Linked DNA regions of Arabidopsis thaliana. The protein of the gene in region 2 interacts with the protein of the main gene of each other region in a pairwise test. Each region holds a gene or a part of one and is shown on either strand. Other genes may lie near its edges.

Region 1 (5,140 bases), on a different chromosome or scaffold from region 2:
ATGCCAATCCATCATCACTTGGGTACATATATAATAAACTCATACTTATGTTTCTCTAAAACTCTTAGACTTGGAACCAACTTTGAATTGTGTTTTTTTATTCTTCTCAGGCAATGCCTTATCTCACTGATAGAACCAAGTTACCAAGCGTCATAGATCCTGCGATTAAAGATACGATGGACTTGAAACACCTTTACCAGGTACGTTTGAGAAGGATTTAGTTGATTGTGCAAAGTATATAGTTGGTTTTGATGAGATAGTATCAAGAGTTTTGATGCGAGCATGTGAATGTGTAGGTAGCGGCAGTGGCGATTTTGTGCGTGCAGCCAGAACCGAGTTATAGACCGTTGATTACAGACGTCTTGCATTCTCTTATACCTTTGGTTCCAATGGAACTTGGTGGAACCTTAAAAACCATCAAATGTGCTTCAATGGATCACTGTTAAACACCATAGAAAACCGGTGTTTTTTTTTATAGAAATTCGGTTTAATATTGACCGGTAGGTGGTTTTGATGTGTATATTGGGTTAGAAGTTGTAACCGGAACATTACAGTATCCTTTTGAAATGCTTACTTGCGCACTGTTGATGAACTCTTTTCTCATGTGATTTCTATTTACGAAAACAAATGAAAATTATTATAAGTTGTAAATGGTGACATTAGTAGTAGGTGTGGACAAGACACATAACTAACTGCGTCTCCAAGATGATCTAACCCTGGTTGCATAGTAAGTTGAACTATAAAAAAACATGAAACTTTGTAGATAAACTGACACATAGTAAAAACGAAGAACTGAGCAAAAATGTCTTAAAAGAAATCAGGTGGAAGCTAAGACGTTGGCAGATAAATATGGCGACCTGTAATCCTTCACCTCTAAGAGGCAAGTAGGTAACTGAATATAGCCTTGCAATAGAAGATCAACTTTCTCAACTAAGTTTTCTGGTACTGGAGTGATCACATATAATATTCCTCTCTCTGTGTCAATACCCCTCACGATTCCTACATTCAACATCCAAAACCAACTTCAATACATAATCATAAACCCATGTTCGATCACTGATTGCAATGGATAAATAGAAACTTACCAAGACCTACGCATGATGGCAAATCCTCAAACACCTCGGTGCTAATGCCCAAACCAACAATGGAAGCATTCAAACTATAATACACTTCAGAACTTGGGATCTAAAAAGAAGAGAACCCCATTATTGGCATCATCAATCATATGGATTAGAAAGATATGACCTTTATACTGTTTTCTTTTTACCTGACAATGGAGATGGTTGATTGTTAAACTCGATATTGGAACTTCATAAGGAATATGGGAAGCGAGTTCATGTGTTAGTTCTTTGATCGTGTTTACTTCTTTTCCTTTAAAGCATTGCCTAAAGTAGGCGATTATACGCATGTCCCTCATCAAACGAGCATCCTTATGTATTAAAATGCTGTACAAACAGGATACAAAAACTTGTAACTACTCGAACAAAGCGTATCGGTGAGATTATTCGATAACTAGCATTGTACAGGACTTACGATTGATTATATCTGTCTTGGTAAGCAGATTGGATCTCTATCAAATGAGCTGTCTCATCATCATTACCGTCTAACCAGAACAACCCAGCTGGTAGGTTCTTGTTGTAAGCAGAGATGTTAATTTTCACAACGTGGGAAGGGGAAACATATCTCAGCACGTCCACCAATAACTCATAGCCAATTCCTAAAGGTTGTGAATCATTTCTATTAGTGAAAGAAAAAATCTGTTCCTTTTGTTTTGAAAGGATAAAGAGAGTGAGTTACCTTTAACCCATCCTGGTGTATTAATGACAAGCGGCAATTCAGTTTTGTTCTCGCTAGACTTGCAGAAGTGTAGCTGATAGTAATCGAATAAGGTATATACATATCTTAAATATGCCTTTGGATCCCTCTTTGAAGAAACATCACCATAGAAGAAGCATCTGAATCATCAAACAAAAGAGAAAGGGGAATAAGTCGCTTAAATTCTTAACATCACAAAATTTGCTTGATCCAAACTAACCTCTCTGGTGTCTTTACACATGGAACTGTCCAATCCGATTCTACAAAGTAGAAAATATAACCAGAAACATAAGTGACTGAAACAGCATTATGAAAACAAGTTTTCGGAATGCAAACAACAAGAATCGTGAAAGCAATAAGTATGAGGGTTACCTAGAATTGATTTATCAACAATTGTGAGAGAAAGGAAACCAGGTGCAGTAAATTCAGGCTGGCCAACATCAGTATCCAAATAAGCAACCCTTTTGTATCTGTAAGAACCACAAAGGTCAATTGTCAGCAAAACTTATCGAAACAAAGCAACCATCATAAGCCACTTAAGAAAATTGCATCCATTCAAACTAAATCTGGTTCCATTCAAATTATAAGAAGTAGAAGGTCAAGACAGTTTTCCCCTGATCGGAAAAAAAAAAAAAAAAAAAAAAGACAGTTTTCCCCAATAATCAGACTCACGAACACTCATTAAAAGACCGGGAACAATAAAGAGAGGCTAACGGAAAGTAATAACCTTTGGAGAAGAACTTCAACAAGATTGCGTGAAAATGTGCTTTTGCCACTGTTTTTAGGGCCACAGACCAAAGCTATAACCGGTTGCAACGAACTGCAGGAAACAGAACTTGCTGCATTTGACCATTCCTCTGGTATGAAAGGCAATTTATTTTCTGCTTCAGACATTGCAGCCACACCTTATCTTTCTCTGAGAGAAATCATGTAAAAGAGTTCAATAAAAGACCATTTTATAAACAACCAACAAGTTCTTAACTGTGTTTTAACAAGGGTTTAAGCTAATGTACATAACAAAGAACAAAATTCATCTTTTTCTACCTAAAACACGAGTATTAGAGACTCTGCTCAAATTTGATGTATCTAAGCTCGATTCTACTAACCTAAAACATCACATCAAGCTCGATATGCCCCGATTAATCTAGGTAAAGTCTCTACGAGGTAAGACATCGTAATAGAGAATGAAGCTCAACGTAAACATACTTGTTAAATAACACGGAAAATGACGAAACTAGAAAACGGTCGGAAGAAAAAACTATAACCGGCGATTTTTGAGTCGTCGACCAGAGGAGAAGGTATCGAGCCGTCGGAGAAGCAGAGGGAACGATGAAAATTTAGGGATTTTAGTTTCTCCTAGTGCTTTCGAAACCGAACCGGAACTTAAACCACAATTAATAGAATTCGTTTCAAATAAAAACCGGTATGGTTAAACCCAGAACAAAGTGTTAGCGAACCGGAAAAAAAATAGGAATTACTCGAGAACGACCTTGTCTAATGTGTCTATTCGAATGTGGATCAAAATTTAAGATTATGTACCTAGAAAGTTTGAACATAAACCAAAAAACGAGTGAATGAGTTCGAACTGGGAGCTATGTCCGCTAGAAGAAACGACAGCCAGTGTAGCAGTGGCAATGGCAGAAGTAGAACTGCGTACGGAAGACTACTAGTCTAATCCTCCTTTCAGGAGTGCATACACAAGTGAAACCTATGAACACGTGGTTTGAGTTCCACTTACACAAGAAAAGGCTTAGAACAACCAACTAAAATTAAATCAATCATGAGCTTCTATATAGGTAATACTCATTAGTCATTAGACTCAGTTCAATTGGGCTTAATAATCAAAATAAGAATATCAAGTTGGATTGTCAAAAGATTAGTATCAAACAATACACATGCAAACGTAAGAGTGACAACTCTAGAGCCATTGTTTATAAGATTTAATTTGGTACCTAGCTCCTCATCTCCAGCAAATTTTGTACGTAATATTATTTCGTTAAAATAATGAACTTGGAGACATGAACCTGCTCTTTCCCACCAATCATATATATATATTTCGAGATCTCAATTACTTCGTAGCAGCTAATATTCCGCCGATGAATTCATTATTAACCATATATTTTCAAAATGCATATATAATATATACTTTATTTTTTTTCGTCATATAATATACACTTTTCTGAAATACAAATAAATTCAAAGTTTTTCACAAGTTAGTGAAAACCCCCACATGGAACAACATTGTTTGTATTAACATATATTTGTTGTGTCCTTATAATTATCTTCACAATTTATTTGCCCATTACAAGGTTCTCGGATCTGATGATTAACTGGTAAATACATAAATTACTATTTCTCCTAAAGTAAAACAGCTATTAGTACCAAGATATGAAATCAGAGGTTGTAAAAAAACAATTAAATCTTTAGCAGTAGCATGTAGAATTTATCTCTACACAGTTTTTTTTCTTTCTTTTACACACAGCCTATATTTCTACTTTTTGGTTACCTTCTTAATAGGATTTTTGTGAGCGGCCAAATTATTGTCATTCTGGTAGAAGATTATACCAATCATACACACAGTTTCACCAAATCAATTATATAAAAAAAACTGCCGTTTAGTCAAAAGATATTAATGAAGTTGAAGTAGGTGCTCAAAGAAAAGAAAGGTATTTGAAAAGTTGAAAAGAGAATCTAAGAAGTGGACAGACAGTATAAGAAAATGAAGGTCGACGAGACTCGAGAGAGGAGGGGTTATTAAGTTGAATTACTAAAAGCGTGTTGTCGTTTCAATCTGACCTGGTCTTAGTCTTCCACATGAGAAAATTCAGTCAACCATTGCTCTCAAAATCGTTTCGTTTTTCTTATAATTTCATTAAACAAAATCAAGTATACATACTCTCTTAACCACCATTTCTTCAAAATTAACTTTAGATAACTTTATGTTCTATATATATATATACTTTCTTTCTTCTTGTTAAAGTATTGTCCAGACTAAGTTTGGAAGTACGAGTTTTTGTCAATAAATGAAACAAATATCCTCCTTTGATTTGAAAGTACTCGAAAAGATAGGAGACAGAGTAATTTTGAAGCAAACCATATTGCTAGCTACAAGTAAGTGTAATTATTACATGAAATTGTTTATTGCTATCAAAGATCTCACTTGTACAATCAAAAAACATGTGGATATGATCCAAAGATTATGGCATGGGATGAGACAACAAGGACTCTTTTTGCATTAGCTATACCAACTTACTCGGGAGAACATTGTTTTAGTAATATGATTTTTTTATTAAGTTCAAAATTATGCTGATTTTAGATCGGGAAA
Region 2 (4,290 bases):
GAAGACGAAAGAGACGGCGAAGAACAAGAAAAAGAACGAGAATGTTGATCCTAACAAACCCAAAAAGCCTACTTCTTCATACTTTCTCTTCTGGTATATACTTTAAAACCCTGAATCCACAAAACAATCAGATGCTAAACTGGTTTTATAATCTCAAATCTTTTTACAGCAAAGACGCAAGAAAGAGTGTGTTAGAAGAACATCCTGGGATCAACAACTCAACTGTTACTGCTCACATTTCATTGAAATGGATGGTATATTATAAATCATGAAACTCGAATCCAACGAGTAAGATTTTATCACTGTTAGTTGTGAAATTGAGTTGGTTTTGGTTACAATTTTGTTGTAGGAACTTGGTGAAGAGGAGAAACAAGTTTACAATAGCAAAGCTGCTGAGTTAATGGAAGCTTACAAGAAAGAAGTGGAAGAGTACAATAAGACCAAGACTTCGTCGTAGAGAAAGAAAAATTAGAGAATGTTCAAGTTTGCTCATATTGAACATCTCTACTTATGCAAAATGACTCTGCTACTTAAATCGCTAGGCGCTAATCGGGATTATATTAATCTCAAGAATATTCAATACTGTACTACTTAAATCGAATTGTGGAAAAAAGTGGGGAAGCCTGTGTTAATCTCAGCCGTTGGATCAAATTGAAAATTAACGTCGAAGATTGGAGAACTTCCTGTGGAAGTATTTGTTGAGATCAATCCAGTGAAATCCGACGGACCAGAACTTCCCACGTGGTGGTAAAACGTTCCACCACCGTTGATGGACTCGTAAGTGTATAACGGCGACGTGACGGGGAATGAGAAAGCTTCGCTTCCAAGTCCGCCGGTACGTACGGTAAGACTGGCCCTGAGATTCTGGTAATTTACTGCTACTGTGTGTTTTGGTTTGGTTTCTCGTTTCTCTGGAAGTGGGATCCCCTGTGAACAAGTGTGTGTTCCTCTGTATGTTACTTCGAAGATCGTTGGATCACCGTCCGATCTTTGGACTTGTTTCGTAGCCCAACAGTACTGTGTGTTACGAAATGTGCATCTGTAATAACTCCTGCAATAAAAACACAAATTAGTCCTAAATTAGTAAAACTAAAACTAATTTTTTCTTCTTCTTAAAGCCACGTAAATTTAGCCAAAAAAAACTATCTGATTATATACAAATCCGACCTTCATATAGCAAACTCGGATAATAATTTTAAATATCTAATTTATCTTGTATTATATTCAGAATTATTCATTACATATTCGATATTTAAATTATGCAAAATAGTTTTTAATATGAGAATACACTTTGAATAGTAATTTTAGGTATATATTACTCATATAATTATACTCAACATTTATCCGCTGCTATTAACCAATCTTTTAACAAATGTACTATTCGTAAACATGATGATTATGATGATGATGATAGAGTATGATGATGTACCTTGGGAATTTGGCGCCCAAAATGTCTTTCTGGCCATATTTTCTCCAGCTGAAGATATCGTCATGAGGTCCTTCTAAGCCTCTCTCTGGGCTAATTCTCACTTGCTCTGTCCACTTTGGCAACATCTTCCTGCAAATTTTCATTAATTGTCAAATCTCTAATTCAAAAAATCTGGCTATTTTTTTTGAATTCTAATATTATTATTATTATTATTAAATTTTAATAAGCTTTTCTCTTCTTTATAACGCTAATTTAAGTTCAAATTTTTACCTCTTTTTAGAACTTAAGTTGAATTCTTTCGATCTTACATTGAAAAACTCTTCGCTTCTCGGATTTCCGGTGATCGATGCTGGAGATCCTGGAACCTTTCCGGGATGAGCTAGGGGATCAGGCGCAAGCTCTATCGTTGGATTGTGTTGTGTGGTGGATCCGTTGAGCATCAAAATAGCTTTTTTGAAGGAAGAAACTATGTTATGTAAGAGATTCTCCTTTATCTCCGTCGTCAAATATGAAGAAGAAGCTGACAACGATGGAGAAGACGAACCCTGAAGCTGCTTGGCCGCTTTTAGTCCATGAATTAGCTCGTTTAGCAAACTCCTCCGCTCCCAATTCATCATTTCCATGTTACTTTTAGTGTCTTGAGTAAATTCGAAAGGCGGTAAAACCCCGGTTTACGGTGACCGGAAGAAATAGTTATGAATTTTTTGGAAAAACTTTTGACATTGAAGGTGAAGAGATGTGATAGCTTTTTAACTTTTTTATAGTAAGGTTTAGATTAAGAACATGTGATTGTGGTTTAGGAAAAAGATGTGAGATTTTTGGTATTTGAATGATGAGAATGTACTAAAACGAAGCGTGTTCTTTTGGAATTTAAAGGTTTTAAAAGATATGTTTGAAAATTTGACCAAGTGAGCAAACTATTAAACAAATAGGAAAAAGATTCAAAGTTGAGAAAGTCTTTGGTCTTCATTAAGAATATATCGTTTCAGAGTGTATAAGTGGTGGTGTTTACTATAGGTCAAATGCTGACCAAATCAACTTTGGGTTTATTTTAGTTTAACCAAGTTGATTAGTTATTTAAATCTAGTGGTTTACTAAATAATTATATTATTAGGATAGAAATAAACTGTACCTTTTCCAAGTATTAACTTTGTTAAGGTTCTTTTTCAATATCTATCTGCAAAATGTACTATTACATTGATTTCTATTTTGGTAGCAACAAACCATTTCTTGTATAACTTGTTATTCTATTGACGACAACCGTTTTTGTATCATTTATTTTGTTTGTGTTCAACATCTTCAGATAGTCTACCAGATTTAAATATGAAATATATAGCATAGCAGACTAGCAGTTATAGCACAAATATTAGATACCAAATCTCAATTATAAAATATAGTACAAAATCAGGATGAGCTAACTAAATAAGTTCAACTGTATTTTGACATTCTAATTAATTTCTAACATTTAAAGATGTAAACAAAATTCCATGATATCTTAGAAAGTTACAGTATGATTGTATGAAATGAACCATAAACTATTACAGAGAAAAGTGAGATGACACATACATTCATAATTCAATACAAGATCGTAAAAAAAGGTTTCTGCTGACCAAGTCCATCCATCGTCAAAGACTCAAAGTGTATCAAATTAAAAGAAGTTCCATCTGAAATTCCATATCTCATGATTGATCTGTAACTTTACTGCCATTAGTTGATTTTTTGTCTTAATGGACTTGGAAGATTAGTTTTTGCTATAACATATTGAAAGTATATCCGTTTTCATTACTAAGTCCACGTACCTACGTGTTGTGTAAAGTTAAATACGTTAATGTGACATTGTGATGCATTAGTGTATACTTAAACTATAAACAAATATTTAGAGTCTTAAAAATCTTATCTTATTATATAAAGTATGGTTTTCAAAGTTTCTAACTCATAGGATCGTGTCCACGTGTCAAGTCAAACGATCAGATGTTTACATGTGTCATTTAAAATTTAACTTTTTTATTCTCTTAAAAAAATAGAAAATCTTAAAAAGTAAACAAATTTACATATGCTAATTAAGTTACTAACTCATAGAATCGTGCCACGTGTCAAGTCAAACGATCAGATGTTTACATTTGTCATTCAAAATTTAATTTTTTTATTCTCTTAAAAAAAATAGAATCTTATTATATAAAAATTAAGATACAAAAATTTAACTTTTTTATTCTCTTAAATTCAGCATCTGCTATTTAGGCGGGTCTAAGATACAAAAATTAAGTTTTATCGATAGAAATTTGTATAATAATCAATATATTTTTCTTGATATTTAATTTAATAATTATTGGTTTAAACAAAATTTCAGTCTTATCCATTCTATTTTAATTATACACACTCAATCTTATGAATGATATTTGAATTCTAAAAAGTAACCGATCATCATTCTATATTTAATTTAATATCTAGAAAAGAAAAAGAAAAAATAAATTTATATCTTACACATTCAATTTTGTAATACAGTTTAACTATCTATGTCATCATAATAAACTCGATTTAAATTCTACACACTTCATATTGAATGATAACATTTTCATATCAAAATAATATTTATGACATATCAAATCTATATCCTATTTAGTATTAAAAATAATTAAAAATTAACAAAACATAATTAATAGGCCTAGGCATAATACCCCAACCCTAAGAACCGATCCGAACCCGAACCCAAAATTTTCAAAGACCCGAGCGGTTCTGAACTTCAAAACCCAAAAAACCCGAACCTGAATAGGTATCCAAACATATCTCATATATAAGTATATATTAGTTATATTTATACTTGTATACAGAAAATATTAGGATTTTTTCGGATATTTTAATTA
Region 3 (3,628 bases), on a different chromosome or scaffold from region 2:
CGGGTTATCGGAAAATAATATGGAGATATCAAGTGGTTTAAGTAGATCACCATGGTTACTTTCTTGGTAAGTTACTGTGAAGTTTTGAACATCAAAGGGGAAACACAGTTTGCTTGATTCTGAAGAAACCTCTTCGATTTTGAAAAATGATGCTTTCTTTCATCTTTTGTTGTTTTCGTGTAAATTTGTGTGCAGTGAGGAAAATAATCAGAGTGGCTTAAGAGTTTTTGTTTTTGTTTTCCTTGTATGGGCTTTAATGCTTTTGGTGAGCGGAACAATTGTAATATCTCCGACAGAGTCTGTTGAAATTTTTTGACAATTATTTTTCAATTTCAGATTCCATAACTAGAACAACTATATTTCACTGTTTATTCCGGTAAAATAGTTGAATTGAGAAGTAAATGATAGTATGAAAATATGAAATAGATCTTGATTTGGTTAAACTAGTAACTCAACTGAAACTTTGTGAAAACTAGAATACGAATATGAACCTAATTCAGCAGTGTTCCAAAACAATTCATATTTCTAGTATTATCTAATCTATGTCTAAAACCATAAAAATAACTACTAAACCAAAAAGGATCTGCATTAGCTACAGCTTTTTTTCTTGAAAAAAATAGCTTCATTACAAGTTACAACCGATTTTTTTATAAATGTAATAAAACTAGAAACAAAATTTGAATAAAATCTCGAACAAGTGATTTACATTCAGACAAAACTAACTTTTTCCCCCACCACCACTGACTGTATTGGTCAATCCTAGATTCTTCCAAGTTTGCTTTTAGAAAATCAGTAGTGATAAGCTCTTGAGATCTTTAGTCTTCTCACGCTAGACAAGAACATCCTACATAATCAATTAAGTCCCCATTAATTAAAGGGAATTTTTACATAATTATGTCAAAAAAAATACTTAACTAGAGATTTTTAATACACTAAAATTAAAAAAGAACTTACTCCCAAGGAACATCTCCAACCATCATCCAGTCACCTTCTTTGTCTGCGTACGTTAGCACGTGACTCTTCTCACTACACATATCTTCTTCTTCAGCCCCTATTTTCACAATTTTTTTATTGCCATTAGTTTTGGTCTTAACTATATACATGCAAAGAGAGGTATAACAAATATAAATATTAACTAAGTCTACATGCAAAGATGTAATTAAGTGTGTGTAGATACTTACAAAGGATTGAAGCATTGAACATGTAGTCGAGAGTTGTGATCAAATCATGATATCCATTAAGAGATAAAAGATCGATCTTTCTCCCAATAGGAACTCCTTCCATGTTCACTTTCACGTAGAAGCTTCCGACACTATTACACTCGTTTTGCTCTTCTTCTTCCATGATCATCATTTCCTCTGCCGCACCGACTCCATCATATTCATGGTTATCTCCACCGTTGTAATATTGTCCGGAAGATGATCCGAAGCTGAGCCCGAGTCTCAGGTCCGTGCTTAGGTTCCGAGTATTACTCGAAGACACACCAAATGGGTTGCTTTTGCAGCTGCTCTCTATCGATGAAGACGATGAGCTTCTCCCTCTTCCCATTTTTTTTTATTTCTTTTACTATTTCTCTCTCTCTATGATTTTATCTAAAACAGGTGATTAATGATTTGAACGTGTGTGTATTATATATAGAGAATGGAAATTTTTATTTAATTGTTAGAGCTTAAAAGGAAGAAGTAATAATATTGGAATGGTCTTTCTGATATGTTTTTTTTTTAATTAAAGAAAATGGTGGAATGATGAGACAGTGTTGTTAAAGATGTTGTCCATGTAGCAGACAAATACACGTGTCATGCAGACACTTGGTCAAAGTGTTGGTTTTGACTTTGTGCTCGGATTTTTTTGCTGGGTGTGTTCTAATTAAATTTTGTTTGTTTCAATGTAAATATACTCGACTCCTAGTACTACCTTTCGTTTAACAAAAAAAAAAAGAAAAAAGATTGTTTGATTTCTTATAAAATAATTAGGGTTGGATTTTAGAATTAACTGAATTATTTTGTTAAAACACTATAAATGAATAAGAAACTGTGACTGATTTAGTTTAAAAAGTTTAGGCTTAGATTTAAGGAATCATATGAACGTAGACAAGATAGTTCTAAACCGGATAAGAACATGTTTTCTTAAATAAATGTAGACCAATGTACAATACATAGTTTACTTCATTATCCGTCTTAGTAAAATCAAGTTCAATGCATGAGACTATCGTGACGCGCATTGATGCATTCGTGGGTTCGACAAACAACACTTCCATAATTAAGGTTTTTTTTATAACCGCGAGACACTTTAAGCAAAAAAAATGTTTTTGTTTTAGCATTAAAGTATGTCAAAATGTTTTTTAAATTGAATATCAACTGCTAAACACGTCTCATGTACGTCATTAACTCTCTAATAATGTTCTTTAATTATGACAAAAAATATTGAAAATAGTCTACGTGGACTCCATTGTATCTAAGCATGACAAGAGTTTGAGCTTTCCATGATTTTAATCCACGTCGCTGTTAGTAATTACACTCCTCTACTAATTTGATTGTTCCTTTTAATTTATCTTATCATGAAGCATCTATAGTCAAGTCCAACCACTACTATATTTTTCCAATACTAAACCAATTTACCAACCTTTTATGTGTAGCAATCAAAGTGAATCAAGTGGTGCTAATCTCCCACAAATCTTAATCAGAATTTCTGTATCTTTTCATGGCAGAGACCAAAACACATCATATTGGTGATCTTAGTCTTATCCGTCGTTAGTATTCAAAATAGTGACTTTAATAAATGCTTCTCTTTGGTTGGCACACCAAGATTCTATTTGTGTAATATTCATTGGATTTAGATAGAAACATGTATGTGGTATAGTCAATTCGGTTGATATATTAAACTTTGGTCACCAGAAAAAAGTGCATGCTTCTTGGTTTTGTACGTTACATGTAATAAATTAGAAGCGAAGAAACAAATAGAGGGGAATATAGAAAAAGAAAGAAAATGAGAGAAGGGAAGCATGAGTAATGAATGCGTAACCTTAAAGAGAGGAGCTAATGAGAGATGCTTCGCCTATGGACTAAGGACTGAGGATACGTCACAATTCTCACACTCCAAAACATACATATAGTTTTGCAAGCACGAGACAGTAAACACTATCGACAACATTTCACGTTCCCCACGTCACGTGCCTTTTTCCACGTGTCTCCTCACTTTGTCGCCTCCACTTCCACTCTTCTACAATCACTCCTTAAGCTTCTTCATGACCTACCAATCAATATGATTAGAACTCTTTGTTCTCTCTTTTATAATTGGAAGATTTTGTCCAAAGTTATTTTTACAATCAAATCATATTCCATTCCGTCTTTTAGTTTATATGTACAACGTAACTTGTTTCTTATTTTTAATTAATGGTTTTAGAACTTAAAGTTTTACGGATTACAAATAGTATTCTTAAGTATTAAAGTGTTTTTCATATTATATATAGTTTTTTAAAATAATTTGAAACGATCCTGAATCTCTTATCAAGTGTCTTTATCATTGAGCCAAAAACATATATAGTATACACATTCATACAAATCTTTTGAACCCGAAACATCCAAACAATGTCGTTATCACAATAACCGACATGTATTGCGTAGATATC

What was found.
Region 1: the proteins of WRKY41 (region 2) and AT5G11010 interact in binary tests that used the Arabidopsis thaliana proteins (3 or more experiments, as listed by UniProt).
Region 3: the proteins of WRKY41 (region 2) and IAA30 interact in binary tests that used the Arabidopsis thaliana proteins (3 or more experiments, as listed by UniProt).

Annotation. Positions count from the first base shown.
Region 1 is NC_003076.8:3,481,745-3,486,884, reverse strand, and holds AT5G11010 (Pre-mRNA cleavage complex II protein family), read right to left. Parts: upstream 3,254-5,140; 5' UTR 3,022-3,253; exon of another isoform or gene 2,732-3,021; 5' UTR 2,710-2,731; coding exon 2,543-2,709; intron 2,286-2,542; coding exon 2,188-2,285; intron 2,076-2,187; coding exon 2,036-2,075; intron 1,956-2,035; coding exon 1,798-1,955; intron 1,718-1,797; coding exon 1,534-1,717; intron 1,446-1,533; coding exon 1,268-1,445; intron 1,186-1,267; coding exon 1,086-1,185; coding exon of another isoform or gene 1,054-1,085; exon of another isoform or gene 1,000-1,053; coding exon 818-999; 3' UTR 618-817; downstream 1-617. Other genes in the region: AT5G11020 (Protein kinase superfamily protein), read left to right, coding at 1-22, 111-200, 297-446. UniProt on the Arabidopsis thaliana protein: Polynucleotide 5'-kinase involved in rRNA processing.
Region 2 is NC_003075.7:6,757,065-6,761,354, reverse strand, and holds WRKY41 (WRKY family transcription factor), read right to left. Parts: upstream 2,258-4,290; 5' UTR 2,053-2,257; coding exon 1,700-2,052; intron 1,559-1,699; coding exon 1,430-1,558; intron 1,078-1,429; exon of another isoform or gene 1,052-1,077; coding exon 592-1,051; 3' UTR 561-591; downstream 1-560. Other genes in the region: 3xHMG-box1 (HMG (high mobility group) box protein), read left to right, coding at 2-93, 170-254, 350-457. UniProt on the Arabidopsis thaliana protein: Transcription factor. Interacts specifically with the W box (5'-(T)TGAC[CT]-3'), a frequently occurring elicitor-responsive cis-acting element.
Region 3 is NC_003074.8:22,993,755-22,997,382, reverse strand, and holds IAA30 (indole-3-acetic acid inducible 30), read right to left. Parts: upstream 1,698-3,628; 5' UTR 1,549-1,697; coding exon 1,182-1,548; intron 1,052-1,181; coding exon 955-1,051; coding exon of another isoform or gene 951-954; exon of another isoform or gene 845-950; coding exon 790-844; 3' UTR 574-789; downstream 1-573. Other genes in the region: AT3G62110 (Pectin lyase-like superfamily protein), read left to right, coding at 1-70. UniProt on the Arabidopsis thaliana protein: Aux/IAA proteins are short-lived transcriptional factors that function as repressors of early auxin response genes at low auxin concentrations.